Linked DNA regions of Rattus norvegicus. The protein of the gene in region 1 binds, or shares a complex with, the protein of each later gene. Links are inferred from orthologs where the notes say so. Each region holds a gene or a part of one and is shown in the gene's direction. Other genes may lie near its edges.

Region 1 (10,257 bases):
ACTTTGAAAGCCTGTCTTCAGTGACTACCTCCATCAACCCGTCCCCATTCCCTAACACTTATGTCTCTGTCCAGTAAAAACGTTTTGAAATTTGTCATTGGATAAGTCCACTGGCCATTATGATCCAGTCACATCTCCAAAACTACATCTATGAACACTTATCCTGGGGGAGTACTTCAATACAGAAGCTTTGGGTGAAAACTGTCACTCCATAGCTAACCTGTAAAAAAAACATCAATACTGAGACTGACTCCTTTTTAAACACATTACTTCTTTTATCTTTGGAGATTGTAACTACCCCTTTCCCCTCTTCTCTATGTTTCCTCTTTATAACATAATAGAATAGCAAAACATTTTAATATCATTGGTCACATATGCAAGTATATTGCTATATGGTAATTAAGATTTGATGGCTGTCTAGAACAATGTGACTTGGCCAACCTGGCCTAGTTTGGCATACATGTCACTCCACCCATCATTTTTACTGTGGCTAATCCAACATAGGTAAGCCCTAGGAAGAGCAAATGCTACTCTTGGCTGTGACTTCTGGTTCCTAGGAAAGAATCTCAACCAGGAGTTAGTAGAGCCAGGGTTGGGTGTCACATCAGCAGCAAATGATACACAGGCTAAGAGGTTTCTCAGGGGAGTTGCCACAGGTTACAATGGAATGACAATTACAAGGTAGATGGCTCATGTCATGCCTGCTGTGACCTTTACAATACATGGGGATCATTATTTTAATGTTAATTTGCATAATGGTCCACCTAGTAGGAACAATGCTGAATGCTAATAGCTGCAGGATGCAATAAAATTAAACATTATCTGGGCTGAACTGCTAAAGGAAAAGTTGCCAAAGTATGACTCTTTAAGTACTTAATTTCATCCCAGGTCATGTCCACACAACAAATGAGGATTTCCGGTATCTCTTGAAAAACTGGCAAGAACTAGCTAGAATAGAATAACACCAGCTTCCTTTATGCGGAACCCTAGCGAATAGACTGTGTTTTGACACGATTTGTCTGGACCTTCTACAAAAATTAGAATTGTTATTCTCACCATATCTTGCCCCAATACTGCCTTGCCCCACTCAGACCCTTTACGCACTTGTTGACAGATACACTAAAAATGACAAACAGAGATACTCTCAACTTCTGAACTGACAGATACCAAGAAAAACTTTTTAATTGGTAAGATCAAGCAAGTCCTCAGAGAAGACAGCTACTATCCCCTCGAACTATTAAGTAACCAACCACACATTCTTAGTTGTGGGTGGAAGGATAGAGAGTAAAGAAGCATAGAGAGTAAAAAAGCAACGCCTTTGTATTTGTTTCTTCTCTACGATTTCTATTTCATGAAGAACGGACTGACCATGACCGTCTATTTTGTATTCCAAAGAACAGAGAATTCTTTCAAACTGGATCCACTTCTGGGTCCCATGCGTTTACGCTCATTTCCACCACAAGAGGGCAGCCATCTCTAAAAAACAACAGTTGTGCTCTTCAGAGAAATTGGGCCAAACTTCAGGAAAGTTCCTGGGAAAGGCTTTTAACTGCCTGCACCTCCCCTCTCCCGTTGCATGTCCTACAAAAAAGAAGCCGCCAGGCACCACCAAGGTGGAGTAACTGTCCGGAGGCATCCATTTTATCTCAGAGTCTTGATTACTAAGGATATCATAAATGGCCAAACTCCCGCTTCTGGAGTTCCAAAGGCCCAAAGCTACACGGCATTGTTGATGTCATCCCCAAAGGTTTCATTTTCATCTTTTCTTGGGGTGGGTCCAACAGCTGTCAACTTTCTCTTCCTCATTAAAGGCAACTTTCTGATTTAAATCTCATATATGTTTGGAGGTTTTGCTTTGCTCCACAAGTCTTCCCGATGACAGAAGCAATTGTTAACTTCTCAATTAAACTTGATAGGGAAGGAAATGGCTTCAGAAGCGATCAGCACTTTTGGCTTACATGTCTGAGTGGAGTGTTTTATTGCCTTCTTGTTTGGTCTCTCACGATTTAGAGTGACAATTTCTACAACACATCTTAAGAAGGAATACAGTAACTGATTGCAGATTGCTGAATCTATTCCTTCTCCTTTAATTTTCCTAGTAGGCAGCCTTCCTTCAAAGTACCTTATTTGCCCTTTACAGCTCTAGAAACAGCCAGGGCCTAATTTCCCTCTGTGGGTTGCTAATCTGATTTAGGTGAGCAGAACCTAGAGTTATTTTAGCTTCCCAACTGAAAAGCTAATACACACGGATAATAGATTATTAAAGCCCCTCCTTCTGGTTTTTCTCTGTCTTTGCTTTGCAAACTTGAAAGATCTGATTCAGAACCTGGTATTACCAATCTGGTCTTCCACAGAAATGTTCTGCCCATAGCTTTGGGGGTCATGTGGGCAACAAGGTGGTAGTATGTATGAAGGCTCCTGAAATGAGGGAGAAGTGGAAAGAGTTCAAAACGAATCCTGGATCAGCAGCTTTGGGGACATTCCAGCTGAGGAAGAAAAGTGGCTTAGCCACAGTCAGAGTCTTGCTTCTGGAGACCTAGTGGAGAGGGCCAGACAGAAAATTCAAAAGTCTCAAACCAGAAATGTCTTGTTACCTGCCTCTGGTGTAGGTGGGTGGGGGAGGGGAGATAAATAGCCCAAGTATGGAAGTGATTGTTTCTATAAAGAGAACTTCTATTAACTCCCATTGTCCCCTCACATGGACAGACAGACAGACACACACACACACACACACACACACAAACACTAGAGGGGACATCCACTTTACATGTGTATATCTATGTACAGAACCTGTACCCTCATTTTTATAATTTACATAAATGAATACATATATGTATATACATCTTTTATTAGATTCATTTATTTGACTATATATGCACATGGGCGCATATAAATGTATGAATATTTATAAAATGTAATAATACACTCGAATGTGTATTGGCTATTTCTTGACATTTTCTTCTCACCATTCAAAACAGAGAAGCGTTTGCTCACATCTTTGCCAACATGTCTGATAACTTCTAGGTTCTTCTTTTTAATGTGATCTTACCTAAAAACTTCAAACTCAAGTTGAATATTGGCCCAGTGGGGGAACTCAGAGGCAAGCCTACCCTGAATTTGCCCTAAACTCGGGCATCTGGGGCACGAATCCTGGTCCCGGGGGTCTGCTTTACACTCAGCCGGGACGCGACCCCTTAGCGGCCGCGCGCTCGCCCCGCCCCGCCCCGCCGCGGCCGCCCCTCAGGGCGCGCCGTCCACACCCCTGCGCGCTGCTCCCGCCCGCCCGGGGATCCCCAGCGCGCTGCGCCTCCGAGGGGGAGGTGTTCGGCCACGGCCGGGAGGGAGCCGGCAGGCGGCGTCTCCTTTAAAAGCCGCGAGCGCCGCGCCACGGCGCCTCCGTCGTCGCCGCCGGAGTCCTCGCCCTGCCGCGCAGAGCCCGGCTCGCACTGCGCCCGCCGCTGCGCTTCCCACAGCCCGCCCGGGATTGGCAGCTCGGGACGAAGCCTCCCTAGCCCACACCGGCCATCGGACGCCCTCAGGGCGAGCGACGCGAGGGTCACCCGGGGCTTCGAGGGGCCGGCACGACACCGGTTGGAGCTGCGAACTGTGCGCGCCCGGCTCTGTGGCCTCAGCTGTCCGGGAGAAGCCAGAGTCGCGGACCGACGCTAAGAGCCGGGAGTCCGGAGCACAGTCTTACCCTCAACGCTGGGCTACTCCGACACGAGAGTGAGCGCCCGAGGCGAGCAGGAAGAGTGATCGGACCCCAGGCTGCCACAAAAGACACTTGGCCCGAGGGCTCGGAGCGTGAGGTCACCCGGTTTGGCAGCCGGGGACGCGCGGCTGGACTGTCTCGAGAATGAGCCCCAGGACGCCGGGACGCCGCAGCCGTGCGGGTTCCGCTGGCGAGCGCTGATGGGGGTGCGCCAGAGTCAGGCTGAGGGATGCGGAGTGGCGGCCCGCCCGCCACCCAGATCTTCGCTGCGCCCTTGCCGGGACCCGGCGTCGCCCACGATGGCTGCCCCGAGCCATGGGTCGCGGCCCAGCTAACGCAGAACGTCCGACCCTCGCCCGGCGAGTCCCGGAGCCGGCCCCGCGCCCCGCCAGCGCTGGTCCCTGAGGAAGACGACAGCAGCAGCCTTGCCTCAGCCTTCCCTCCCCGTCCCTGCCCCGCACTCCTCCCCCTGCTTGAGGCTGTGTGTCAGCACTTGGCTGGAGACTTCTTGAACTTGTCGGGAGAGTGACTTGGGCTCCCCACTTCGCGCCGGTGTCCTCGCCCGGCGGATCCAGTCTTGCCGCCGCCTCCAGCCCGGTCACCTCTCTGTTCCTTGGCCGGCTGGGCCCACCCCAAGACACGGTTCCCTTCGGGGAGAACACCCGGAGAAGGAGGAGGTGAAGAAAGGCAACAGAAGCCCAGTCGCTGCTCCAGGTCCCTCGGACAGAGCTTTTTCCATGTGGAGACTCTCTCAATGGACGTGCCCCCTAGTGCTTCTTAGACGGACTGCGGTCTCCTAAAGGTAGAGGACACGGGCCCGGACCCAGGGCTGGCGGGTGACACCGCTTCCCGCCCGGCGGCGCTGGGCGCCTCGGAGGACCGGTGGAGTGGACGTAAACATACCCTCTCCCGGTGCACGTGCAGCGAGCGGATCCCTAGAGGGGTCAGGCACTCTGAACCCCAGATCCCTCTGTCTTGCCCACCTGGTCTGCGACCTCCTTTCAGCCCGTTCCTCCTCCCCAGTTTTAAATACATTATCAGGGCTGTTTTGGGCTTTACCCCCTCCTCCGCCCCCAAATTGCAGAAATCCATTTAGAGAGTATGGCCGGTGGATTTCACTAGTTCATTGCCCACCAGCACTCCAAGCCTTAGAGATCCTTCGCTATCCTTAAGAACTAGGTCCCATTTAGGAAGCTACTAAAAGTCGGGGTTCTTTTTGTGTGTGTTTACTGACTGTGCGGATGTGTCACAGCTTACACGTGCATTTATAGACACTATCTATTTAGGTCATTGCAGAAAGGTGCATGGATTTCTTGACTGCACAGGGGTCTGGAGAAGGGGACAGAGTGGCCTGTGGGTCAACCTTGAAGTTAGGGGCGTAGGCCACGACTTGCAAGTGGCGTCATTAGTATTAATCTTTAGTTTACCGCTTTCTGAATCTACAATCTACCAGGAAGTTCTATACGGCGCCTCTAAGGAAGTCACTTGTGCATTTGTGTCTGTTTATGTGCAAATGAACGCTGTGCAGTATAGTTGTAAGGGATGCAGTGTCCGAACAATCTATGGGTTCCCAGCTTCCTGACACAGGCTTTACTAGCTAGTGTCACAAGAAAAGGTGACAGACAGTCATTGATTTTTCTTTTTTAAATTGGGAGTTAAGACCAAGCCCCAAGTGAGAAGTCCGGCTGGGACTTAGGGGTTCTTCATCCTCTTGATCATCCAGGCTGTAGCTTGGATGACATGCCAGGAGGGCATCCTGGAGAAGGCCAGCGAGCCCTGTGGGAGCCGGGGCCGCGGGGGCGGGCGGAGGACTGGGCGGGGAACGTGGGTGACTCACGTCGGCCCTGTCCGCAGGTCGACCATGGTGGCCGGGACCCGCTGTCTTCTAGTGTTGCTGCTTCCCCAGGTCCTCCTGGGCGGCGCGGCCGGCCTCATTCCGGAGCTGGGCCGCAAGAAGTTCGCCGGGGCATCCGGCCGCCCCTTGTCCCGGCCTTCGGACGACGTCCTCAGCGAGTTTGAGTTGAGGCTGCTCAGCATGTTTGGCCTGAAGCAGAGACCCACCCCCAGCAAGGACGTCGTGGTGCCCCCCTATATGCTCGACCTGTACCGCCGGCACTCGGGCCAGCCAGGAGCGCCCGCCCCAGACCACCGGCTGGAGAGGGCAGCCAGCCGCGCCAACACCGTGCGCAGCTTCCATCACGAAGGTGAGCGGGCGGCGGGTGGCGGGGCGGGGACAGCGGGCGGAGACTCAGTGGGCAGCCCGGGCCTCCGCTAGCACAGTGGACGGTCCTTCGGCTTCTGTACCGTCCCCTCTGTGGCCCCGAGCCAGGGATTCCCCACTGGTGAGTCCGCACCCTTTTCCTGGCAGGTGGCCAGCAGACAGACTCCTCCCCACTAGAACTGGAGGGAAATCGAGTGATGGGGAAGAGGGTGAGAGACTGGCTAGCCCCTTGTCAGCTCATTGTGGGAGAATTTCACAGAAGGCAGGGAGTTGGGGCTCCTTAAATCTGTGTGGAAGCTCAGATCTGTGGCTTGTGTTCAGGCTGGAGTTTTAAGCTAGGCAGAGGTAGTATTAACAAATCAAATCCAGGGCCCCAAAGCATTCAAATTTGCTGTTCATCTGGGCCTCGTTTGAAAGATTTTTGAATCCCTATCTAATCCCCGTGGGAGATCAATTCCACAATCCATCATACTGTTTCCCCAATGACCTTCCTTTCTCCTGCTTAACTCTTAAGTCTCCAAGTGGAGACAGGTCAAGCCTTCAGATAAAAGCATTTTCTCCCACTGCCTGCTACCTTCCTAGACAAGGTAATGGAATTTTTAAAAAAATACGATATGAGTATGGTTTCCCAAGGTAGAGTAATGTTTATTTCTTCGGAAGGAGATTTAGTGGGTAAGACATGCTGTAGAGGCCTATTGAAGTCTCTTGTGCCAATGTCCTTATAGCAGTTAGTAAAAATAATAATAATAATAATAATAATAATAATAATAATAATAATAATAATCGTGCCTCAGTTCAATTCCGTGTGTGTCACTTTAAATGTGCTTTTGGTTTAATGCAATCTCAATAGGATATCAGTTCCTTCAAGTTCTAGAAGAATTCAGAGTTGTCTGTCAGTGAGCTGCAATTTATAGAACAATGGGGAGCTAGGAGAGAAGTTCCCTTTTTAAAGCTTCGCTTTGCCTTTCTTGAGAGGATACATTTTAAGTAGAAATCTATGCTCTGAAATGGCAGCCCAACCCCCATCCCCAATAAGGGATGACTCAAACTTTGAGAAGTCTGGTTGATAATAGGAAAAAGAGCCACCGGCAGGTCACATAGCAAGGGGTGTATCTTCCTTGAGGCAGCCAATGGTTATGAAGGGCACTAGAAACTGGTGTCTAAGGTTTTCTGGGGACAACGTTCAGTATTGAAAGATAGTGAGACCTTATTCTGCTCCTTAGGGTCTGCTTGCTGAGAGAGGGAGATTCCAGAATGTACACCCCCAGCCCCCGTCCCCAGGGCTAAGCTAATCTTTCTGGGTTAATATTTATTGGAAAATGTTTTGTAGATCAAAACAAACAAACAAAACCACTAGCCAGCACAGCTGTTTTTCCCACTGCCTTTGGAGATAGAGCAGGAAAACAATTTATTCGTGTATTTGTTTATTTATTAGTATTTTCTAATGTGAAAAAAATTATTCTTTACCTGTAAAAAAAAATGAACGAGTTATTTTATCTTTATCTTAACTAAGCTAAAAGCATCATTTAAGTCAACTAAAACTCAAAAATCCAATTGAATGTAAGGTTTGTCAATAAAATCTACATATTCTCAGTCTTCATTTGGAAGTGGCTTGATAAAAACACAGGCAAAACGCTATCTAGGTGTCTTATTTTAAAACTTAGTGAGCTTCCGTTCACAAGAAAAATTGTATTTTTAAAAGTGGTTTTTCTGGTGTAAAACTGTATAGAAGTTATCGACCTGCTTAAAATAAACTTGCACTGACTTTATATCTTGGTGCAATCAGATGTGATTTTTACCATAAATCTCAGAAACCATTTCTTTTCAGTCATCATCAGGTATACACGGCATATGGGAAGACTGTTCACATTGTTAAGTAGCCTAGAGTTTAGTTTTTCTAAGCATCCTTGTGCCACTGAAAAACCTTAATAAGCCATGTGTTACTTGGTAGGCTTCTTCGTAAATGCTAGAATGGCATGAGACAAGACATACCATGGTAGTCTTTCAGTAGATTCTTCCAGACAAAATCTCCTGTTGAACATTAAGAGCATTTTACCATAGATTTTATCCAGGAGAGTCCAGACTTTGCTGAATTCCCACCCCAAGGTCACTGAAGACCTTCCCGAACTGGCTGCCATTGGAAAACAGTTGGAAATTGCTTGACTCCATTGGCCCCATAGAGACTTCCCCTTTAGTGGCAGATCATATACAGAAGGATCTCATGCTGGTTCTTCTGACTATGGAGAACATAGTCTTTCTTTTTTCTTTTTGTAACTAACAAACGATGTGGCCCTGTGACTAAAGTTTTCAAAGAGGGAGAGAAAATAGCCGCAGGCTAGGACATTTCAAGGCACAACTCTGTCTTGTGATGAAGAAAGCATGGTCCATCCACCATGCCAGCATGGGTTTGAATGCAGACACCCAGGAAGGCTCCCATCTACTTCTGGCTGTGTTAGTGTGCTCACAAAGACCCTGTGGGGAAAACAGTTCCTCAGTGTGCAGTGTTCCTTGCCACTGATGTTCTCAGTGTCTCTTGTTTGTCAGCGGATGCTTTGAATACCTCTTGACTCCTCTCCAAGCTGCTTTTGTCCTCTTTACATGTACCTTGGGACATTTCTCTTGGTCGTTAGAGAATCCCTCCTGGACCTACAAGGTCCCCTTATAGGGCCTGTGATGAGGAGAACAGAGACCTAGTCAGGTTGCTGGTGACTACTAGACCCTGTTTCCCTTTCCCACCACTTCCTTTGTTGACTTAAAAATTAAACCTTAATTCTGTGTGTTTTAAGCCTTTTCTTCCTTCCTCTTTGGCATGCCATTTATCTTATTCCGGAAAAAATCACAGTCTGTCCCAAAGCTCCTTGAATCTTGTTGCAGCGGTGAGATGCAGCTGCTGGTCTGGAATAGCCTTAGGCCTGTTGTTGTTTTGATGGAGGAATGTTTTCTGTCCAAAAAGTGTTGCAAAATCCCCCAAGCTTAATGATAACTTTTGAAATGAAACTCACCCTACTCTAGGGCAAGCAAGAGCCACAGAGAGCAGGATCTAAACAAGGCCTGGTGTCCCATTTGGCTGCATCTCTTCAGTTTTTCTGTTCCTTTAGCTCTGTCTGCATCTAAAGGGTGCTGAGCAGTATGTTTGGTGTCTTCCAGGCAAAACTCATTCTGCAGTTTCCATGGTGTCGGGTGCCAATTCCTAGTGATTTGGACTGTTGCTTGGGATTTTAGGTCTCTCTTACATTAGATAATATCTCCCAATGGCTAGAACTTGGGCCTTGCAGGGCACGCCAGTTAACAGTTCTGTGAACTAAGTCACATAACCACTCTGAATTCTCAACTGTTTCACTCACAAAATGGAGAAAAACCACTGTTCCCTCAATGTGCTTCTTGTAAGAGACGTCATAGAAAGGTGATGGCACCAGATTTGGCAAAAAGAGAAAGAAAGAAAGAAAGTAAGAAAGAAGGAAAGAAAGAAAGAAAGAAAGAAAGAAAGAGAGAAAGAAAGAAAGAAAGTAAAAAAGAAGGAAAGAAAGAAAGTAAAAAAGAAGGAAAGAAAGAAAGAAAGAAAGAAAGAAAGAAAGAGAGAGAAAGATAACAGGAGGGAAGGAAGGAAGGGAAAAAGGGAGGGAGGGAGGGAGGGAGGGAGGGAGGGAGGGAGGGAGGGAGGGAAGAAAAGCAAGCAAGCACAGCCACTAATGTTTTGTGGTGACATTTTTATTTCATATTATTCATTTTTCTAGGAAGTGGCCCTAGCCATATCTTTTGGGTTATTTTGAGGTAGAGGAATAATCAACATAGTGGAGAACATTGAGTGTGGGCTTAGCTTCTAGAAGAGACTAGAATGGCATGGCTGCCCCCACTTACTTCCCTTTCCTGCAGTTTGTTTAGGGCTAGGAGGCTGATACTCAGGTTGGAGACAGGTCAGAATCCTGAAATCACTTAGCAAGTTCAGCTGATTCAACAAGGGATATTTACAGAGAATTAACAGCTATTCCAGCCTCCAAAAAGTGTACATTACCTACTCTGTATTTTCAGAACCCCAGGCTTGCTGTGATCGTTTGTCGAGGTCTTTTCCTATAATTTTCTTTATTTAAAAGATATTTTCAATTTCCCACCCTCAAGAAGAGGTTGAAACTTGTCCCTTGAAGTAGAAAAGGTGTTGTGTGTCCTGACCCCTGGTCAGTCGGCTTCCTGTGTTGAGGTCTTCTCTAAATTCTTGGCTTCTATGTATCATTTCAATAAACAGTCACATTTGATAACTTGGTATAAGGATGGGATAAGATCTTCCAAGGCTTAGGCTGGTGGACATGCTGCTGAAAGACAGAGATGG
Region 2 (10,157 bases), on another chromosome or scaffold:
AAGGCCTTCTTGGGAGTGAGTGGCTGGCTAATGAGAGGTTAATTTTGTTTCGAAGGGAAGGCTGTGCTGGTTTCCTGAGATAAATGGACAGGAAGCACATTACCTCCAAGCACTGGCAAGCGGCTCCCAAATGCTTTTTGCACCTGCCGCTTCTAGTCCTGAGAGCCAGAAGCGAGCCCTACTGGAATCTGTTAGGGATCAAGGGGCCCGGGATGTAAGCGCGTGATCTCCGTGGTCTCTCTCTTTCTCCAGGGACTCAGCGCTCATACGGAGCCCTGGGGCTCTTCTCTCACACCTAGGTCCTGCGTGTTCCGGAGCTCGGGGGCATCCTGATCCCGCTGAGCCCCCTCCAGGTGCAGAAGGGTTAAGAATGATGTAAGTACAAGCCAGGAGCTACATGCTGCTGGACTCTGGGCTATTCCGGGCCCCCTATTTTCAAACACTGTGGAGCAATGAGCAGCAGGGGAGCCCTTACTCAGGAATGGGTTACACAAATCGCTCATTGCTGGCTTCTCTGTCCTGGGTGAGCTGTTAAGCAGAGACCCTCTTGTTAGGTTTTTGGGTATGGAGATTCAGTACCTGGGGAACAGTTAAGACACAGTTAAGGATTTGGGAAATGAAATTGCATCATGTTTAGAATCCATTAACGTTACTGGCATCCGTTTTAATTACCCATTCGCATGCCCATGGTGTAGGATACTTTGCTGGGTCTCTTAGATGTACTGTTCTGGTCTCTTCGAAAACAAAGAGGAAGAGAGAAAGAATGCAGATGGCAAGACACGAGGTGGATTTTTGGGTTGCTCAAGTTGCCAATCACCTCACTTTTTTTTTCCTAATTAAAAATGTAAAACTTATAATCATCAAATTTGTTCTAGCTTCCTCCCTGGGTTTTTCTTTGTCCAGTCCCAAATTCTGCTTAACCATGCTGCACAGGAAGAGTGGCTGCCCTCTAAAAACCATTCAACATGCTCTTGATTTCCAAGCTGACTTCAAATCTTGCTAACATCCAGATTCACCCCAGACTGTGTCAACAGACCCAATGTCAGGAAAATAAGAACCACCTTGTACTTTAATTGTTAAAAAGAAAAAGCATTTTCCTCCAGCAGCTGAACACTTACGCAGTAATAAAAAGTGAATTGTTAGGCATACATGTCTTAAGCTTGTCAAATTTTACAACAGAGGAGCAATAAAACACCTTAGAGATGAATTTTTTTTCCTCTGAACAGTTTTTTTTTTCCTTGACACCAGGATTCGAAGCAACTCGAGGGTGCCCTCTACTGATAAGAATATCTGGAGCCCCTTGTATTTAAAAAAAAAAAAAAAAAAGCAAAGTCATCAGCAGAAAGATTCTAAATTGAATGTATTGATCTTTAACCTTTTGTTTATATGAAACATGATAATAACATAAGGTTCCTTTCGGAATATAATTAAATATTGAGGTAAGAAAACCCTACATTTTTCTGTGAGCCAGCTATCTAAAAGCACTTAAAATCTTTATGTGTAAGAACATTTTGCCTGCATGTATGTCTGTGCACCATGTGCCCCTTTGGTGCCTGTGAAGGTGAAGGGGATTCAGATCCCCTGGAACTGGAGTTACAGACTATTGTGAGCTGCCAGTGCACACTGAGAAGTGAACCTCGGGTCTTTTGTACAAGCCACTCAACCATCTCTCCAGCTCTAAGCTAAAAGGACTTCTAAGAAGAGTGTCATGCGATCACTCTTTAAAAGAAATATTTTCTGAACTGTATTTCATGGATTATATGTAGTAACTGCAAAATGGTTTTTAAAAAAAAAAGTCCTGATAGCATTTAGTATACACCATTATGTAAAACTGTCAGATCCAGCCCTCCCCCCATCAAAAGTCATTTCTCCAGGCAACTGTGAAGCTATTATTAAGCATATTAAAGATAGACATAAGGCTTGGATTATATCTTGGGTAGTGAAAGGTGTGTTTACCACTTGAATCATCATGGCCTGTAATAAGTAATGAAAAATTACAGTAAAAACAGATAGGTCTCCTTCATTAGGGACCTGGTGGTTTGAGGAATTCACAATGTGTCTAATAAGTAAGATGGTGAGACCTAAGGCTTGCCCCCCAATTATCCTTGTCCATTGATTAGCACACTGTAACATGTGGACTATTAATGTGTCTGTGGTTGATAGGAGATTCCTAATTAGAGATTCTGAGTAATGTAGCAGGTAAAGTTGCAAACTGTAATTTAGATTGCACTAAGTGCATTTTAAATGCCAGTCCTCAACAGTTTGGAGAATGGCAGAGGCAGGGGGAAAGTAAAGTGGCTTCTTAGGAGCACTGACGCCACTCTCCGAAGGAGATAGATACCACTTCACACTAACTGATAACAAATTGGAGCCTATCGTCAACTCCGCACGTGCTTTCTTTTGTCTCCATATATTAGCCCTTCTCCTTAGAGATAATTTGAGGGGGATTGCCCTAGGTTTTGGAGGACAACTCAAGTAGAAACAGACCTAACATTGGATTAATTTAATAGACTGGAAATTTGTGGAAAAGCCACCGAGCAACAAGAAATCGTGGCATAATTGCACTGCATAAAAACTCACCACTCTCATTAATCTAATTACCTTGTAACCGAACACGTTGAAGTTCGCCCAATCCCTGACTCCCGCTCTCCGCTTTGAAGCTGGGAAAATGTCAAAGAAACCAAAACACCAGAGCCTCACGCAGCTGCCAGCGAATTCCGCTGGGAGCTCGCAGGTACCTTCTCAGTCCATCCATCTGCTACGGACCTCGGTGTCATCTGAGTATCTAACAAGGCTTGGCTGGACTCTTGATTTGCCAAGAGACCCCCCAACAAGTTTGCTATGAGGTCCAGCAGTCGATTGGCTGAGTCGGGTGGGGGGTGGGGGTGGGGGGACCTGCTACACTGAGCTTGGGAAAGCGCTGGCTTCCTGCAAGTGGCTGCAGCTAGCAATAGGACAAGGGGTTGGAGAGGGTCATTAAAAACAACGAACAAAAAACTAGGAGGAAGCTGAACCTGAAGCTCATTAATTCAAGGAAAGGTTAAAGGCCGGTTCTCCTGGAACGCGGGCCAAGTGAGAGTCGCTGTCGCCCATTTCTATTGGGTACCAGAAAACAGTGATCGCGGAAAGGGGTGGAGGAGAAAAGCACAAGGAAGCCGGCAGGAGGGAGGCTGGGCCCTGGCGAAGCTGCCCCACCCGCGGGCGGCGGACACGGAACTTGAGTGAGATGCGAGGGCGGGAGGCACGTTCGCAGCCAATGGGGAGTGGAGAAGGCGGGTGATCGGAGGCGGGGCCTCCGCGGATTGGTGAGAGCCCGGAGGGGCGGGGCGAAAGTGCGGGGCTGAGATTGATTGACCGCGCAGGCCGCGGTGCGGAGCTCTCCGGGCCGCTGCCTGCTACGGTTGGTGAGGTTTTCTCGATCCACGCACGTCCAGCCTTCGCCAGCTGGGTCTCAGCCACCCTTGAGCTCCGGGCTGCTGTCGGCGCTCGCTCACGGTCTTTGTATCTTTTTCTCCCGCCTCTTTCTGCCTGCCGCGTCCGGCCGTCTCGATGTCTCTGCGCCCTATTGCCGCCTCCCTCCACTCGCGACGCCCTGCTCATCGCGGCGGTGGCGGCCGGTCTCGAACGCTGGCCTGAAAGGAGGAAGAGGAAGAAGAGAGGCGTGCGCCCTGGCCCATGCCGCAGCCCGAGGCCCGGCCCAGCCACTGCGCCCGCGCCGCCGCCCTCGCAGGAGCGCACGAGACCTGCATGGACGGGCATGGGCGTGAGAGCAGCACCTTCCTGCGCCGCCGCCCCCGCCGCCGCCGGGGCTGAGCAGTACCACCGCCCCGGACTCTGGCCGCCGTCGCCCCCGCCGCCGCTGTTGCTGCTGCTGCTGCTCAGCCTTGGACTGCTCCACGCAGGTAGGCGCGGGCCGGGTGGGGAGCGGGCCGCGCGGGCTTTGTTCTGGGTGCGGAACGCCACGGCCCTGGCGGGCGAGCAGGGCACTCACGGTCGCAGGTTCACGCTCCTGTCTGCCGCCTCTTGCCTTCGCCGGCGACAGCCGGTGGTCCGGTCCCAGCGTGCGGGCTGGAACCGCGTGCGGGACAGACACCCCGGGGCTTTATTGCCCTCTGCAGGGGTGTTTACTGGAGCCAGCTGCTGATCGGGTTTCCACCGCCCTGGTCGCCTGCGAGCGGAGACTCTGTGCTGTTCCTCCTCTACATCTGGGGGTGGCGGCGAGGCCCGGAGTCGCACACGGTGTAAAGATTTTCACCCGAGTTTGGGGGATGAATTCCAAAGAAACTTAAGTTAACCGGGATCTCTTTCGGTTTTGCCAGTGCTGCTTTGGACGCAGTTTGGCGAATCGAGGACGTGCTTTGAAAGCCTTGGGTTTTCGGCTCCTAGCGGGCTTGACAGATGCGCCCTGCAGTGTGGAGGTTCGCACAGCCCCTGCCCATGCAGCACTAGGAATATGCCCTAAGGATATACCTGAACCTGACCCTCGTGACGTGTGATGCCTAATTTTGTTGTCTTTACAAGGAAGTGCCATATCTTTTTAATACTTGGCCTAGACTGTGCATTTCCCTTTAATACAAAAATTAAAAGGATCATTGTTTTACATAGATTTCCTTGGAAGCCCTTTCCCCCTTTGTTCAGCTGACACAACACTAATCTGGAGAATTCTAGTTTAATAACACTCAACTGTACTGAAAACTTTTTACTTGATAAGATATACGAACCGTCCTAAAATAACTGGGAGGCCTTTTAAGTAATGGAATAAAATGACATCGAAGAGACAAGTCTTCGAGGTGTTATAACAGCTGCATTGTAACACTGTCACTTGTGGAAATGGACGGGGTCATGCTAAAATGTAATAGCCAGTTGTGGAATAATTAAATTTGGCTTTAAGTTAGTAATTTAAATAGAACCTTAGAAAAATATCTGCATGCGGTTTCATGGAAACTTTTTGTTAATGTTCCAGTATTCAGGAGCGTTGGGGTGAGAAAAATGTATGATTTATGTCAAACGGTGCGTTTCATGAAAGGGACGCTGAAAGGCTAGGTTGAGCTCTTGGCAGCTTGGATATTGGTTGCTGTGGGGTCCTGACAGGGTTGGAGAGTAGTTCCTGAGGAGTTGCTTGCTGCCCTGTCAAAGGCATGAGAAACTGGACGAAAGGCTTTGGAACACGAGGTTGGTTTCAGTAACTCAGTCTGTGCTCACATTGAGATTGAACCCAAGGCCCTCATTACTGTGAACAACTTGTTGAAGTCGAGCTGCTTTTCAGAGATCTCTTTGAAGAGTGGCTCTATTGAAATGCTGGGGTCCTTTTCCAGACCAGGGAACCGAGGAAGTGCTGCTTGCAGATGGACCACCATATGTTTTCCGTCTGAGTCATATCGCTTGCCTCTGTGCCCCATATGGCTCCATAGCTCCCTCAATTCAGCCTCAACAGATCTCATTTCCTTTACGATAACCTGGCAATTGTGCTGTAGTCACAGTCCCCGTGTGAAGGAAGCTGTCTTGCCTATGTTCATTAAAAAATAATGAATCGAAATCTCTAGACCACGAATCCTTTTAGCACTTCCAGTAACTGGCCGAAAGCACAAGTCACACCAACTGTAGATGGCCTGCTGACACCAAAATAGAAAATTCTTCTTTGTAAGTGCATCGTTTGGATTCTGCCCTTGGGAAACGGCCTGTTTATTTTTCACATGTATTTTATGATTTTATTTTAAGAAGACCTTTGCAGTTCAGGAGTGAATATCACATACCGGCCTTCTTGCTTACTCATACACTCCATGGCCTCCTTGGCCACATCCTGGAGAGTGTTTCTGCCCTGCATTATCTTGGCATTCTGACAGGGGGCTTACATTACCGCCTCTAACAGGCAAAGTGTGCATTGTCATTATAAATTCATGAAGCTTGGATATTTCTGGGTGTATGCTACAAATTAGTCATTATACCGGAGCCTGTGATGGAGCTGAAAATGCTGACCTCAAAGCATTTTCTCTTCAGTTAGCCCTCCACCCTGATCCTCTCCACAGCCGAGGGTAGGCCCCTCATCCAAAGCAAAAGAGCTGTTGTTTTGTGTGTGATTTCTCAAAGCAGTCAGCACCTACCCACCATGAAAAAGGGAAAGCTTAGGAATGGGGGTTGGGTACAATAGAACACTGGGAATGAACGCTGCATCTTCTCCCCCCCCCCCCAAACTCTGGGATTCTGTATCTCCACGCTGTCCTCACTTTTGATATTTTATGACTATTCGAAATAATTATAAGTAACTGTATGCTCAGATAGATTTTATAGACCATAAAAAGAACAAATAGGCCCCACGAGTTTAGCGGAAAGTTCTAGTGCTGTCATTATTTGAGGTCCAAGAGCTGTTCGTTAGGGAGCGATCTTGGCCCTGCTTTTACTTATTTTGCACTTGCTCTGTATCGTACTTTAAAAGGAGGGGTATCATTGTCCCCCAACTGCTTTCTCAGCTATCGGTGACTGACACTAGTTAGTCTCGAACAATCCCAAGTCCAGAGCAAGACCTTGGATACTCCTTTCCCTCGATAAACAACTTGAAGGCTTTTGGAATAGTGAATTGGTTTGACTGTTTTGGTCCTCGCTTTGTTGTCCAGTAAAAGTAGTTGAAAGTAAATGCATTTGTTTTCAAGAAAGGAGTCCTGTAAATCAAACTCCCTTTGTCAGCACTGCACTGAACAAGCCTTGAATGGACCAAACACATGGCAATGACTCTTTTGTTTTGTTTTGTTTTGTTTTTAAAGTGGTCTAGTGATTGCTATAAATCCATTAACTCCAAAATAGTAAAACAATTTTAATCTCCTTTATTCTGGTAAAAAATGAAAATGAAGGCTCAACTGGGTCTTTGAAATTTCACAATGACAGATTGCTACCCTCACACTTCCCTCCAACCAAAGACAAAAATAGTTTACCATTTAATTAAAATTTAAAAACACTGAGGCACCTTTCTAAACAATATAGAGGTTACTAAATGATGTCCTTCATCAGGTGACATTTTAAGTACTGATATCCTGAAATATATTGTATCCACATATTGTAATAATTACATACTTAAAAAGTAACCCACCCACTTCTGTCAAACATGGTGGCATACACCTGTAGTCCAACATTCTGGAAGCTGATACAGAAGGATCGAAAGTTCAAGGTCAGCCTGGGCTGCAATGCAAGGAGACCTGCCTTGTCTCAAAACAAAAGCAAAACCAGGCTCTGCAGAGATGGCTTATCAGTTAAGAGGGTTGGCTGCTCTTCCAGAGGATCCCAACGTGGTTCCCAGCACCCACACAGTGGCTCAGCCATCTGTAAGTCCAGTTCCAGGAAATCCAATACCATCATCTATATGGCCTCCAAGGGCACCAGGCATGCATGTGATGCACAGACATACGTGCAAGCAAAACACTCATATACCTACCAAACATACCACAAAACTAGCCAAAACCAGTGGATCATCCAGTGATGTCAAACCCTCACCACCACCAGTACAAAAGGTGAGACACTTTATGCCAAGAAAAGACCATGAGGCTGTTACAACAGCTGACACATTCTTCAGAAGAGGATGCTGCTAAGATGGGAAGAAATTAAGCTTTTCATAAGTTAAACAGTTAAACACCTACTAGGAATTTTAAGTAACAAATATATGTTACAGTTCATTTTATACAATTTGAAATAGAGGGCCAGTGTTTCTCTTCAGTAAACCTTTTCTCAGTTTTGAAACAATGTATAATTGATTGGTACACATGACTAACCTAGTTTTTTGTTTTGTCTTTTCCTCTTGTGCTCAGAAACATTTCATGAATTGTTATATAAGAGACAAGTGACAGATAATTTGGAATTTCTTAATACAGGACTTTTTATACTTGGGTTTTCATTTTAACTTTTTCTCTAAACTGTTAATTAATTGAATTAAAAGGGAAAGGAGTTGTGTATGATCACACAAACACGTACACAGTCACACACATACAAATTCTTGGCTCGATAGTTCTCTGATCCCATTTTGAAAAACAATTTTGATGTTGCATACTTTTTTAACTGTCTTTTGCCTACGGTTCGCTTGACGTGTTAAGCTTGCGGTATGACAGACATGTGAAGAGAAGTAAAATCGGATCTTGGTCAAGTGAATCACTTTCTTAGCAGAGTACTTAGGTTTGATAGACACTAAGGCGTGGTGACTGGATGTGGTGATGCAACTTATTAGTAATACATCAGGAAAAGTAAAACAACTTACTACTTGAATTTTTTTTTCCTTTGATTTTCTTACCCTGTAGCCATACAAAGCCAGGTAAAGATACTTTAAACAAACTATAATTTAGAGTTTTAGCCTTTCTTCGGTGTGTGTAGGCTTTAATCATAGCTATGTGCATAGTGTATCCCCCCCCCCCCCCCCCGCTGCTTTCCAGAGCAAATTACTCATAGGACTTTAAAACTCAAAACAGCCCATATCTTTGGCTTTGCTTTGGAGCAGAACAATCTTTGTCAAAATAGCAAACAAGAAACAATATTTCATTGGCAATTTTAACCTGGAGGCATTTCTAGACTAGACTCTTGTTCAGTTACCAAAGCTCAAGCTTGTTTGCGAAGGTGTCTTAAAGTGGGAGTATATGAGGTAGAACAGAGAGTTCCTAGGGAGAAAAGCATCTTCTCTCCTGCTGCCCAGGAACTGATGACACAGTTGCATGCTTGATCCTGCCTTCTTTCCCATAGGTGATTGCCAACAGCCTGCTCAATGTCGAATCCAGAAATGTACCACAGACTTCGTGTCCCTGACTTCACACCTGAACTCCGCGGCCGATGGCTTTGACTCTGAGTTTTGCAAGGCACTTCGTGCCTATGCTGGGTGCACCCAGCGAACTTCAAAAGCCTGCCGTGGCAACCTGGTGTACCATTCTGCCGTGTTAGGTATCAGTGATCTCATGAGTCAGAGGAACTGTTCCAAGGATGGACCCACATCCTCCACCAACCCGGAAGTGACCCATGACCCCTGTAACTACCACAGCCATGGGGGAGTCAGAGAACACAGGGGAGGGGACCAGAGACCTCCCAATTACCTTTTCTGTGGCTTGTTCGGAGATCCTCACCTTCGAACTTTCAAGGATCACTTCCAAACGTGCAAAGTGGAAGGGGCCTGGCCACTCATAGACAACAATTACCTTTCGGTTCAAGTGACGAACGTGCCTGTGGTCCCTGGATCCAGCGCAACTGCCACGAACAAGGTAAGTACATGTCTTTCCCCCCTTTCTACTCAAGTTGTTTGGTCCTTCAGACAACTGATAAAATGCGTTGTTATAAAGGCCTCGTTCAGAGGAGCCGTCTGAATATCTTCTTGGGAAGTTATTAACAGGGTTGGTAAAGGTTTGAAATTGTTTGATGAAAGATCTTCTCCGGCATGTAAGACGTGGGTCTAAAGTTAACTAGACAGTGATATGAAGGACAAAACATAACAGTGAAATCAAGTTCTCCAGGGAGGAAAAGGCGGGCCTGTTTAATGAGGAAAATGTGTGTGCTCCCCAGTGCTGTCTTGTGAGTGCTTGTGTGTGTGACTCTTCTCAAAGAAATCCACATTCAGAGTCTTCAGATGACGAGAGAGTGGGTGTTTTGAGTAAAGAAAGCTGTGAAGCCTGGGGCAGTGGCCCATCAGGAAACCTACTTTATTGGAGATTTAGAAGCTATAGTAAATGTAATGGCGGTAAGCCAGGCTTCCCAGTGGCAAACCCACAATGGTGCTTTAGTTACTAACCTTTTGGTAACCAAGGAAGTTAAGGATTGGCTGTTGCTGAACAGTGCCATATAAGCCCTGTGTAACTTCACACCCTCTTTTAACAGTTTCAAGTCAGAAGCTAAGAAGAAAGTTGGCAAAATTAAGTTGAGCTTACCCTGAGCCAGTGTCTGTGAGCCTGGTTTGTTTATTTTCAAGAAATTGATCATGTATAGGGAGAGACCTTTGATGTCAGCTGCAAGGTACGATGTCTTCCCGCAAGGTGGAAGAGACTGTCAGGAGGGTCTGCAAGGACCAGTCAGTGCTAAGTAACTGACCTTTCATAAATAAAGTCAGAGGAGTTTCTCCTAGTGTCCAACTAACCCCCCTCCTTCCCTGTCTTCCCCGGCCATGAACCCCACAGATAGATTTGCTTTGATTTCCTGTATTTATT
Region 3 (10,257 bases), on another chromosome or scaffold:
GGAGTTATAAAATGCCAGCATTATGATTGTCATGTTTCCTTTATTTATTTTTGAGATATGGTCTCAAAATAATATTTTAACAGTAAATACTTAGATTTGCCGAAATCTGTTTCTGTGTCTAGTGTCCTAGTAGCCTAGGCCTGCGTGGACCTCTCCAGCCTCCCAAGTATGGGACCTCTCCATGCAGTGCAATATCTTCATTTATTTACTGAATATTTCTAGAATTTTCCCATCATTTTAGGATAGTTTTCATAAAGAAGTCAGAATAAAGCTAGGAATGGTGGCTCACACCTGGAACTCAAGCGTGTGGGAGGTGGAGGCAGGGGGATCATCCTAGGCTACATTTTGGATTGGAAGCTCTATTAGGGTCTCTAGAGTCACAGAACTGATGGGTGTCTCTATAGTAAGGGAATTTGTTATGATAACTTACAGTCTGTAGTCCAACTCCCTAACAATGGCAGCTTCGAATGGAAGTCCAAGGATCTAGTAGTTGCCCAGTCCCGCAAGGCAGGCAGGTGAAGAAGAGTGAATCTTCCTTCTTCCAGTGTCCTTATGTAGGTCTCCAGCAGAAGGTGTGGCCCAGATTAAAGGTGTGGACCACCAAGCCTGGATCTGGGGCTTGCTTTGTCCCAGATGACCTTGACCTCAGAGATCTCTTTGCCTTAGTCTCCTGGGATTCATAGCCACTTTGCCTCAAGATCTCCATGCCAAGATCCAGGTCAAAAACTTGTGTCTCCCAGCCTCAAGATCAGGATCACAGGTGAGCCTTCCAATTGTAGTTCATTCCAGATATAGTCACGTTGACTACTGGGAATGGCCATTGCAGAAGCTAACCTTTGAAACTTTGTCTTCGAAGATGCAGAAAACAAAGGGGGCTGGTGAGATGGTTGGGTGGGCATAGTGCCACTAGGCCTGACAACCTTTGTTGAATCCCCTGGACCCACACAGTGGAAGGAGAACCAGGTCCTGCAAATTGTCCTGTGACTTCCACACCTATGCTGTGACACACACACCTACTCCCTCCACCCACAAGTACATAAATAAAAGGAAGGAAAATTTTAAAACAAATCAAAAACAGTTAACTATTTGGTTTTTTCCATTTGCCAGCGGTTCTCAAAACGGACGTGCTTTCTCCAATAATAGCCAGTCACGTTTAACTTTTAAGTATAATTGTGAACTTAGGCTTAAAATGTTTGGTGTGTCAATCCAATATATTCAGTTTCTATTTTGATAACTAATTTGTCCTGTCTTTGGCAAGGGGCAACTATTTTCTTTTAGTTTGCTTGCTTGGTTTGAGACAGGACCTCACTCACTATGTAGCCTTGGCTAGCCTGGAACTCCTTATGTAGGCCAGGTTAGCCTGAAACTCATGGAGGTCCATCTTTCTCTGCCTCCTAAGTGCTGAGAATAAATGCCCAGCCTGATACAGCATTTTAAAGCTTCCTTGTTTATTTTGGATAATTCCTGGCTCCAAATGGGAATAAGTTATTTTTCTGGTTTCTTGGAGTGGGAAATCATACTCGTGTTCCACAACCTGGACACTAGGAGTGTTCGCTAACACGTGCTCCCTGCTTTTAGGTATTTTCATAATAAATTAGGAACACTTAAAGGCAAAATGTAATGAACACACAGTCATCTTTGCATTTAAATTTATTTTTTTTAATGTGTAAGGGTGTTTGTTTTACCTGCATGTATGTCTCTGTGCATCTTCATGCAATGCCCAAGGAGACCAGAAGGGGGCTCCAGGTCCCTTGGAGTGGTTTAGAATTACAGAGTTTTTACTTAACTTCATCAACATGAGTCAGCATTTCTATCCCACATCAAAGATCATGGTTCTCAAAAAACCCAGTATTAGCCACCTGTAATTATAGCACTCAGGAAGTTGAGGCAGGAGGATTGCAAGTTTCAGGCCAGCCTAGGCTATATGGTGAGACTTTGTTTCAAACCAAACCAAACCAAACCAAAAACCCACCATTATTACTTAACTTAAAAACAAGATTTTTTTTTTGAATGTGTATCTGTGTGTGGGTTGAGTGGTTCCCAAAGAGACCAGAAGAGAGCACTGACTCCCCTGGAGCCCCCTCATGTGGATGCTAGAAACCAAACTCAAGTCCTGTACTGACTGGTTTTGTGTGTCAACTTGACACAAGCTGGAGTTATCACAGAGAAAGGAGCCTCAGTTGAGGAAATGCCTCCATGCGACCCAGCTGTAAGGCATTTTCTCAATTAGTGATCAAGGGAATGGCCCAGCCCATTGTGGGTGGTGCAGTTCCCGGGTTGGTGGTCTTGGGTTCTACAAGAGAGCAAGCTCAGCAAGCCAGGGGAAGCAAGCCAGTAAGAAACATCCCTCCATGGCCTCTGCATCAGCTCCTGCTTCCTGACCTGCTTGAGTTCCAGTCCTGACTTCCTTTGGTGATGAACAGCAATGTGGAAGTGTAAGCTGAATAAACCCCTTCCTCCCCAACTTGCTTCTTGGTCCTGATGTTTGTGCAGGAATAGAAACCCTGACTAAGACAGGTCCCTTATAAAACCAATACATGCTCTCAACTGTGACTTTATCCCTCCAGCCTTCGCTAATTTTTTTAAAGCCCACAACATACTCACAATAGTTCCAGGATAATACCAACACCACTGTCAATGATAATGAGGACTGTAAAATACTGTGTACTAGTTGGGCACAGTGGCCCCTGCATGTCACCTGTCACCATCAGGACAACTGTCTCAATCATAACGAGTTCTAGACCAGTTGGGACTACACATACAACACCCTGTTTCAAAACAACAACTTCCTTAAAAATACTTATTTTTTAAAAATTTTATGTGCATGTGTGTATGCCTGAGTGTATGTATGTATGTGCAACACATGTGTGCAGAGGCCATCAGAGGTCAGCTGAGGGCATTGGGGCCCCTGGAGTGGAGTTACAGTTAGAAATGAGCTGCCATGTGGGTTATGGAACCGGAATCCTCTGTCAGAGCAGCACGTGCTTTAACCACTAAACTATCCCTCCAGCCTCAAGAAATTATTTTTTTCGCACATATTTTTGGTTTCAGAGTATATGCCACTTTGTATATTATAGACAACTTAGTATGTCTTAAAGTCACTTGATTAGTTTAGCTGGGGGAATTTTACGGAATAAAAGTTCTTGGGATGTGGCTGGTGAAATGGCTGAGCAGGTAGAGGCACTCACTAGCTACCAATTGTGACATTTGGTCCCTAGCACCCACATGGTGGGAGGAGAGAGCGGACTCTGTAAAATTTTTGACATCCACAGTGGTACACACAGACACACAGAGAGACAGACATACTCTAAGTAACTTAATATAAAAGAATATTATTGTAATATGGTCATGTATAGTTCAGAAAAAACTAAATTCATATAAAAAAAAAACCCTGCATGTTCCCACTCTTCTCTTTTGTGGACTGTGTGTGTGCATGTGTGCGTGCACGAGAGTGTGTGTGTGTGTTTGTGTGTGTGTGTGTGTGTGTGTGTGTGTGTGTGTGTGTGTGAGGACCATGTGGACCTGTAGGCTGTGAGCTGGATGTCGAGCTGACAGGGCTGGAAGCTTTGGTGACACACTTTGTAATCGGTCCTATGCTGCTTTCCCTTGTCCCAGAAGTGCCGCCAGGTGAAAAGACGGGACATGGCTAAATCCTTGGTTATAATAGAGTCTTGAACAGTCTTTCTATGAAAGCATAGTCCCGAATCTCTTCTTTCCCCATTCACCTATCTGGCCCCACTTCTCTGTGGATCGGTCATCTTCAAAACCAGTTCAGCTTCCCACTGCCCCCACCACCCCCGAAACCCGGAAGCTTCTGTTTTTTGTGTTTGTATTGACGAGGAGGAGGGATTGTTGCACACACTAGCGTAATGGAAAAGGTGGAGATAGAATAGACAGCTGCAGAGATCTGATCCGGACAGACAGAATAAACCCTCCTCCGAAACAATTCTGCTCTCGGGTTTCTTCTCCAGACAGCTGGCCTTTCGGCTTCTGAAATAGTTGGCGGAGATGGGGGAGGGTCTCTGAACTACGCCTGCCATCCATCTTCAAAGCCAGCTACCTCTACGTACCATGTGTGGAAACTCAGTGGCATCCTCAGTAAAGAGAGGATGAGAACGGTGAGTGACAGGCGTCACACAAATCACCACCAGCCGTCTTACAGGCCGGGAGCTCATTACTGAGAACGCTAAAGGACCTGAGTGGCAGGTCATACAAGCTGCAGTTGGACATGGGACTTGGCCATCGTTCTCTCTTTAGGCAGTCCCTCACTTGGTACCCAGCATTCCCATATTCCCTCTTTATTTTGCTCATCATTCCTGCTGCCTTAGCTCCCACACCCTACTGCCACCAACGTTCCTGGAATTTTGGACCTAGCTATTTTTAAAACTGTCAACTCAGGAGGCACCTCCCTCCTCCTCTCAGCTGTCCAGTGCTTGGGCCAACCATATACTCTCCCTGCCCCCTCCCCCCACACCAAAGCTCCTCTGGCTCTCTGACCTCGGTGAGATTGCAGCCAGTCCGGGGGATCGGGGACAGACATGGAGAAGGAGATGGAGGACCCCCTGGCTGGAGCAGACCAACAGAATAGGCAACTATGGCTGGAGAACCGGGTATCAGAGTAATGCTTGACCTCGGGAAACAGTAAGTCTAGATGAAATGGCGGTTGCTTTGATAAGCTTTTGGGTCGAGGCTAGAATTTCATAAAGTTACAGACATCTGTTCTGAAAACTAAGATCTCTCCTTACCAGATACCCCAATCTTCACTTTTGGACCGCCTGCTCATACACTTATTCCAAAGAAGGGTTTTGACAGGAGAAAGGGAGACAGACCCCTCCCAATATCTGTTCCCCTCAAAAGACCAGGAGCATCTGGATTGTGTTTTTCAGTTGGGTCTGGAAAAACAGACGAACCGTTGACTAGGCAGAAGCAAATATTAATTTGAAAGCTTGATTTGTACCCCATCCTGTGAGAGCGGGATCACGTCAGCCCTCTGGAGAGGCTGAGAGATCGCCTGGCTCCCTTTTCACTGGGAAGATGCCATCCTAGACGGGCATCTGCCTACCATGCTACCCTTTGTGCCCTTCTATCACAGTGAAGAAAACAAAATGGTGGGTGGCTTCTGGATGGGAGGGACGAATAAGAAGTGCGGTCTTAAGCATGATCAGGTCCCAGCATTACTGGGACCCACTGGTCTAATTAGGACCCACTTTCCCCAGGGAGCTTCCATTTTTTGACCCATCTGCTATTTCAGGATGGGGCAATAAAGTGGACTCTGTCCACTGAGGTCACTCAACCTTCCCTCCACCACCACCACCCCGCCCCCGTAGGCATATTGCACAAGGGATCCTAAGGTGGCCACAGGAGCAGGGCACAAAGGCTCACCAGCCACACTCACCGCTCACCGGCTGGAAGCCTCCTTCTTTCCAAGATCCAGTCTGCTTACTTTTTGTCTTCATCTCCTCAGATTCTCTACCCACCATCTTGACTAATCTTCAACCCTTCTCTTTCCCCACACGCAGCCAAATTTCTTCTTCCGATCGCAGAAGTAGTACTCGGCGAAATTCACTAGGTAGGAGGCTCCTCATCTGGGAAGAACCGGTGCCTGGGGGGACCTGGCTGGATAGGTATGGGGGATCGAGGCCGGTCCCCTAGTCTCCGGTCCCCCCATGGCAGTCCTCCAACTCTAAGCACCCTCACTCTCCTGCTGCTCCTCTGTGGACAGGGTAAGGAAGGGCCAGGGGCGGGTTGGGCATGTCTAGAGGTTAGGTAGGAGTGAGCACAGAGGGATGGGTGCTATGTCCCAGTCACCTGCCAACTCTGAAAGAGGCCTGTCTTGTTTCCCATTTAACTTGAGGAAGGACACAGATGGCGTCCCCAGGGAAAAGAAGTCTGACTGCTTTACATGTTTTTAGTAGAGGAGAGGAAGGAAGGAGGCGAGAAATAGGAGAATAAGGAGGCTGAAGGTTGGGGTTGGGAAAGTGCCCACGCTGAGTGGGAGGAACGGTGGGATGGCGGATGCCTTTTGGCAGTTAGGCGAGTACTGGACTTGGATAGAACCTGAGTCTCACTTCACTGTCCTCTCCCTTCCATCCCCAGCTCACTCCCAGTGCAAGATCCTCCGCTGCAATGCCGAGTACGTCTCGTCCACTCTGAGCCTTCGGGGAGGGGGCTCACCGGACACGCCACATGGAGGCGGCCGTGGTGGGCCGGCCTCAGGTGGCTTGTGTCGCGCCCTGCGCTCCTACGCTCTCTGCACGCGGCGCACCGCCCGCACCTGCCGCGGGGACCTCGCTTTCCACTCCGCGGTGCATGGCATAGAGGACCTGATGATCCAGCACAACTGCTCACGCCAGGGTCCCACGGCCTCGCCCCCGGCCCGGGGTCCTGCCCTGCCCGGGGCCGGCCCAGCGCCCCTGACCCCAGATCCCTGTGACTATGAAGCCCGGTTTTCCAGGCTGCACGGTCGAACCCCGGGTTTCTTGCATTGTGCTTCCTTTGGAGACCCCCATGTGCGCAGCTTCCACAATCACTTTCACACATGCCGCGTCCAAGGAGCTTGGCCCCTACTAGATAACGACTTCCTCTTTGTCCAAGCCACCAGCTCCCCGGTAGCATCGGGAGCCAACGCTACCACCATCCGGAAGGTCAGAGATTCAATTTCCAACCTACCTTCTTGAGTCTTCTCAAGCTCCATCCGCCATACCACTCCTTTTTCCCACTAGTCCTCAGCCACCCAGCTCCCTGTTCCTTGTCTTTCCCAAACATTCCCTTCCATCTTGAATGGCTTCCTTCCATCAAACGTTTGCTCTTGTAAATGTGATTCCTCTTGATGGGAATTTCATTCAAATGCAGGTAACACTAAAGAGGAGGCTGAGAACTGGGACTGGCAGAGCTGGGGCAGAGAGAGAGAGCGAGAGAGCGCGCGCACTTCATTTCTTTTGGAAGTTGCTGAGATATATAGATAGAGACAGACAGACACAGAGACAGATTGAGATTAGGAGGTTGAGCAGGGGTCAGGACACAATAGGATCAAGGACCGAGGACCAGGAAGAATCTCTGCATCTCTGCTGGGATCAGATCCCTGACTCTCTGTGCAGCTTGATTGGTGTGCGGATGCTTTGAGCCCTAATTAACTAATTTTCTCTCTTGTCCTCAGATCACTATCATATTTAAAAACATGCAGGAATGCATTGACCAGAAAGTCTACCAGGCTGAGGTAGACAATCTTCCTGCAGCCTTTGAAGATGGTTCTGTCAATGGGGGCGACCGACCTGGGGGCTCGAGTTTGTCCATTCAAACTGCTAACCTTGGGAGCCACGTGGAGATTCGAGCTGCCTACATTGGAACAACTATAATCGTTCGTCAGACAGCTGGACAGCTCTCCTTCTCCATCAGGGTAGCGGAGGATGTGGCACGGGCCTTCTCTGCTGAGCAGGATCTACAGCTGTGTGTTGGGGGATGCCCTCCGAGCCAGCGACTCTCTCGCTCAGAGCGCAATCGCCGTGGGGCGATAGCCATAGATACTGCCAGAAGGTTGTGTAAGGAAGGGCTTCCGGTTGAAGATGCCTACTTCCAATCCTGCGTCTTTGATGTTTCAGTCTCCGGTGACCCCAACTTTACTGTGGCAGCTCAGTCAGCTCTGGACGATGCCCGAGTCTTCTTGACCGATTTGGAGAACTTGCACCTTTTCCCAGTAGATGCGGGGCCTCCCCTCTCTCCAGCCACCTGCCTAGTCCGGCTTCTTTCGGTCCTCTTTGTTCTGTGGTTTTGCATTCAGTAAGTAGGCCAGCAACCCGTGACTAGTTTGGAAACGGTTTGAGGAGAGAGGTTGATGTGAGAAAACACAAAGATGTGCCAAAGGAAACAGTGGGGACAGGAGACAACGACCTTACTCAATCACACGAGGTTGCAGTCCAGGGCTGAAATGACCCTAGAATAAAGATTCTGAGACAGGGTTTTGCACTCCAGACCTTGGTATGGGCTCCCCATGAATTTCCCCATTAGTGATTTCCCACTTGTAGTGAAATTCTACTCTCTGTACACCTGATATCACTCCTGCAAGGCTAGAGATTGTGAGAGCGCTAAGGGCCAGCAAAACATTAAAGGGCTGAGATATCTTAAAGGCAGAAACTAGAAAAGGGGAAACCATGATTATCTATAAGAAAATCAAAAGAGGGGTTTGGGAATTTAGCTCAGTGGTAGAGCACTTGCCTAGCAAGCGCAAGGCCCTGGGTTCGGTCCCCAGCTCCTAAAAAAGAAAAAAAAAATCAAAAGAGAAAAAACTAATTAAGGCAAGCTTTTTGGTTCAGAAATGAAGTGGGCATTGTCTGGCAGAGGAAGTCAGCTTTTGGAGACTGGCACCAACATCTCCACCCTTCCTACTCTGTTATTAAAGTGACGAATTCCCCATCCTGTCCTCTCTTGCCTGTGTTGAATTGCTTTACAGATCTGTGGCATGGAGTAGAGGCTCTGTGTTCACTCCACTGAAAGGCCTGAGAGTTATCAGTTATTGTCTTGTCCCTCTTGGAGTCTACAGGCTGTTGCAGAGAAAAAACACCAGTTCACGGGAAGGAGTCATGAGTGTTATTATTACATTTGATTTTTATTTTCGGTGGAGCCTCATGTGGCCCCAGGTGGCCTTGCATTGCTGGTCCAACTGTGTCTACTCCTCAAGCCCTGGAGTGGAGGTGGGTGGGGGAATGTGTAATTCTTCACTGGATTCTATGGCGTTTGAATTCCTGTGGGAAGATGAGGGTTGAGAACCAGAGTAATGAGAAGTAATAGAAGACACAGAGATGACACTGCAGATGGCAGGATGGGAAGAGTTCAGGGCTTTCTAGGAAGTGAAGACCATCGGGAGTTATCCGCAGTCATGGTTAGTGAGGGAACCAGAGGGACTCTCTATGTAACAAGGAGTTGTGAGACAGATAGGCCGAAGGAATTACACAGCGCCTTGAGGTGGGACTAAGGAGTTCAGATCTCATCACGAACACTTACTTAGTGCTTAAAATCTGCCAGACAGTGTTACCAAAGCTTAAAATATGTAATGTTCTAAACACATTGAAAATGCACGGAGCTGGAGAGATGGCTCAGCAGTTAAGAGCACTGACTGCTCTTCCAGAGTACTCAGGTTCGGTTCCCAGCGCTAACAATGGCCTGCAATTCTAGTTCTAGGGAATCTGACATAGCTTCGGGTCTCCTCTGGCACATACTGCACATAAATTCATGCAGAACACACACACACACAGACACACAGACACACACACACACACACACACACACACACACACACAAGCTTATTTTTAAGATGCTTTGGCTACCTCAAAGGCTAAACCTTCCCCTGGTACCCCAGGCCCAGTTGGGGACTTGGCCCGTGGGCACTTACCCTAAATCTCACATGGTCGGTTGGCTTTATCTTCTGCCACTACCTGCATACCATCGGTCTTCCCTAAGTCATGGTGGTACTCCCTCTCTGTGTCCTCACCAGAACAACTAAGGGTCCTGCCCTGTGTCCAGCCCTCGGCTGTTAGTATCTTTATTGATCGATCAGAAAAACAATTGGGGACAAGAACCTTTAGCATTTGGACACAGAGATTCCCAGTTGAATCACAGCATTAGAACCAATCTCCAACACTGAACACACATACACATAAAATTTTAATATATATTTATATATATTTTTAAATTTAAAAATAATATATGTGTATGCATGCATTAAGAGTTAGCCATAGGGGTTGGGGATTTAACTCAGTGGTAGAGCGCTTGGGCAAGCGCAAGGCCCTGAGTTCGGTCCCCAGCTCCAAAAAAAAGAAAAGAAAAAAAAAAGAGTTAGCCATGTAGCTCAGTGACAGAGCATTGGCCCAGCATATACAGGGACCCTGAGTTTGATCAACAGTACTGCAATTTAATAATAATAATAATAATAATAATAATAATAATGACAATTATGCTAATAATTCTTTTAGCTTGGTGTGGTGACACACTACGGTAATCCTAGCACTCAGAAAGTAGAAACAAAAGGATCAGGAGTTCAAGATCATCTTTAGCTATATATATAGGCTAGCCTGGGCTACATGAAATTCTGTTTCAATCTTTCTTCTTCAAACTAAACTAAGTAATGATAATTATTCATAAACTTTCTAAGAAGGGTCGTCTTCTCTTAATTGTACCTATCATTTATGTCTGTGTGTCTGTCCACACACACCCCTTATCTTTATGTTGGTGGCGTTGGGGGTGTTCTGTGCGTTGGGAATGCAC

The links.
Region 2: the proteins of Bmp2 (region 1) and Rgmb are in contact, whole or in part, in a crystal structure (PDB 4UI2), measured with the Homo sapiens proteins. The link is inferred for Rattus norvegicus from reciprocal best matches to the Homo sapiens genes BMP2 and RGMB. Residues at the interface, in NP_001191.1 of Homo sapiens: Val308, Gly309, Trp310, Trp313, Met371, Tyr373, Leu374, Asp375, Glu376, Tyr385, Met388; in NP_001353437.1 of Homo sapiens: Lys97, Arg100, Gly101, Leu103, His106, Ser107, Leu110.
Region 3: the proteins of Bmp2 (region 1) and Hjv are in contact, whole or in part, in a crystal structure (PDB 4UI1), measured with the Homo sapiens proteins. The link is inferred for Rattus norvegicus from reciprocal best matches to the Homo sapiens genes BMP2 and HJV. Residues at the interface, in NP_001191.1 of Homo sapiens: Phe331, Pro332, Ala334, Asp335, Leu337, Asn341, Ile344, Val345, Leu348, Ser351, Val352; in NP_001366281.1 of Homo sapiens: Leu40, Asn43, Tyr46, Val47, Tyr86, Leu101, Ala102, Ser105, Ala106, His108, Gly109, Ile110, Asp112, Leu113.

Annotation. Positions count from the first base shown.
Region 1 is NC_086021.1:141,261,254-141,271,510, forward strand, and holds the start of Bmp2 (bone morphogenetic protein 2 precursor), read left to right. Parts: upstream 1-4,270; 5' UTR 4,271-4,514; intron 4,515-5,566; 5' UTR 5,567-5,573; coding exon 5,574-5,916; intron 5,917-10,257. UniProt on the Homo sapiens protein: Growth factor of the TGF-beta superfamily that plays essential roles in many developmental processes, including cardiogenesis, neurogenesis, and osteogenesis. Induces cartilage and bone formation.
Region 2 is NC_086019.1:65,454,249-65,464,405, reverse strand, and holds part of Rgmb (repulsive guidance molecule B), read left to right. Parts: intron 1-299; 5' UTR 300-370; coding exon 371-375; intron 376-3,639; coding exon 3,640-3,902; intron 3,903-8,712; coding exon 8,713-9,221; intron 9,222-10,157. UniProt on the Homo sapiens protein: Member of the repulsive guidance molecule (RGM) family that contributes to the patterning of the developing nervous system. Acts as a bone morphogenetic protein (BMP) coreceptor that potentiates BMP signaling. Promotes neuronal adhesion.
Region 3 is NC_086020.1:186,750,300-186,760,556, forward strand, and holds Hjv (hemojuvelin precursor), read left to right. Parts: upstream 1-4,501; 5' UTR 4,502-4,641; intron 4,642-5,395; exon of another isoform or gene 5,396-5,519; 5' UTR 5,520-5,626; coding exon 5,627-5,723; intron 5,724-6,096; coding exon 6,097-6,644; intron 6,645-7,156; coding exon 7,157-7,780; 3' UTR 7,781-8,409; downstream 8,410-10,257. UniProt on the Homo sapiens protein: Acts as a bone morphogenetic protein (BMP) coreceptor. Through enhancement of BMP signaling regulates hepcidin (HAMP) expression and regulates iron homeostasis.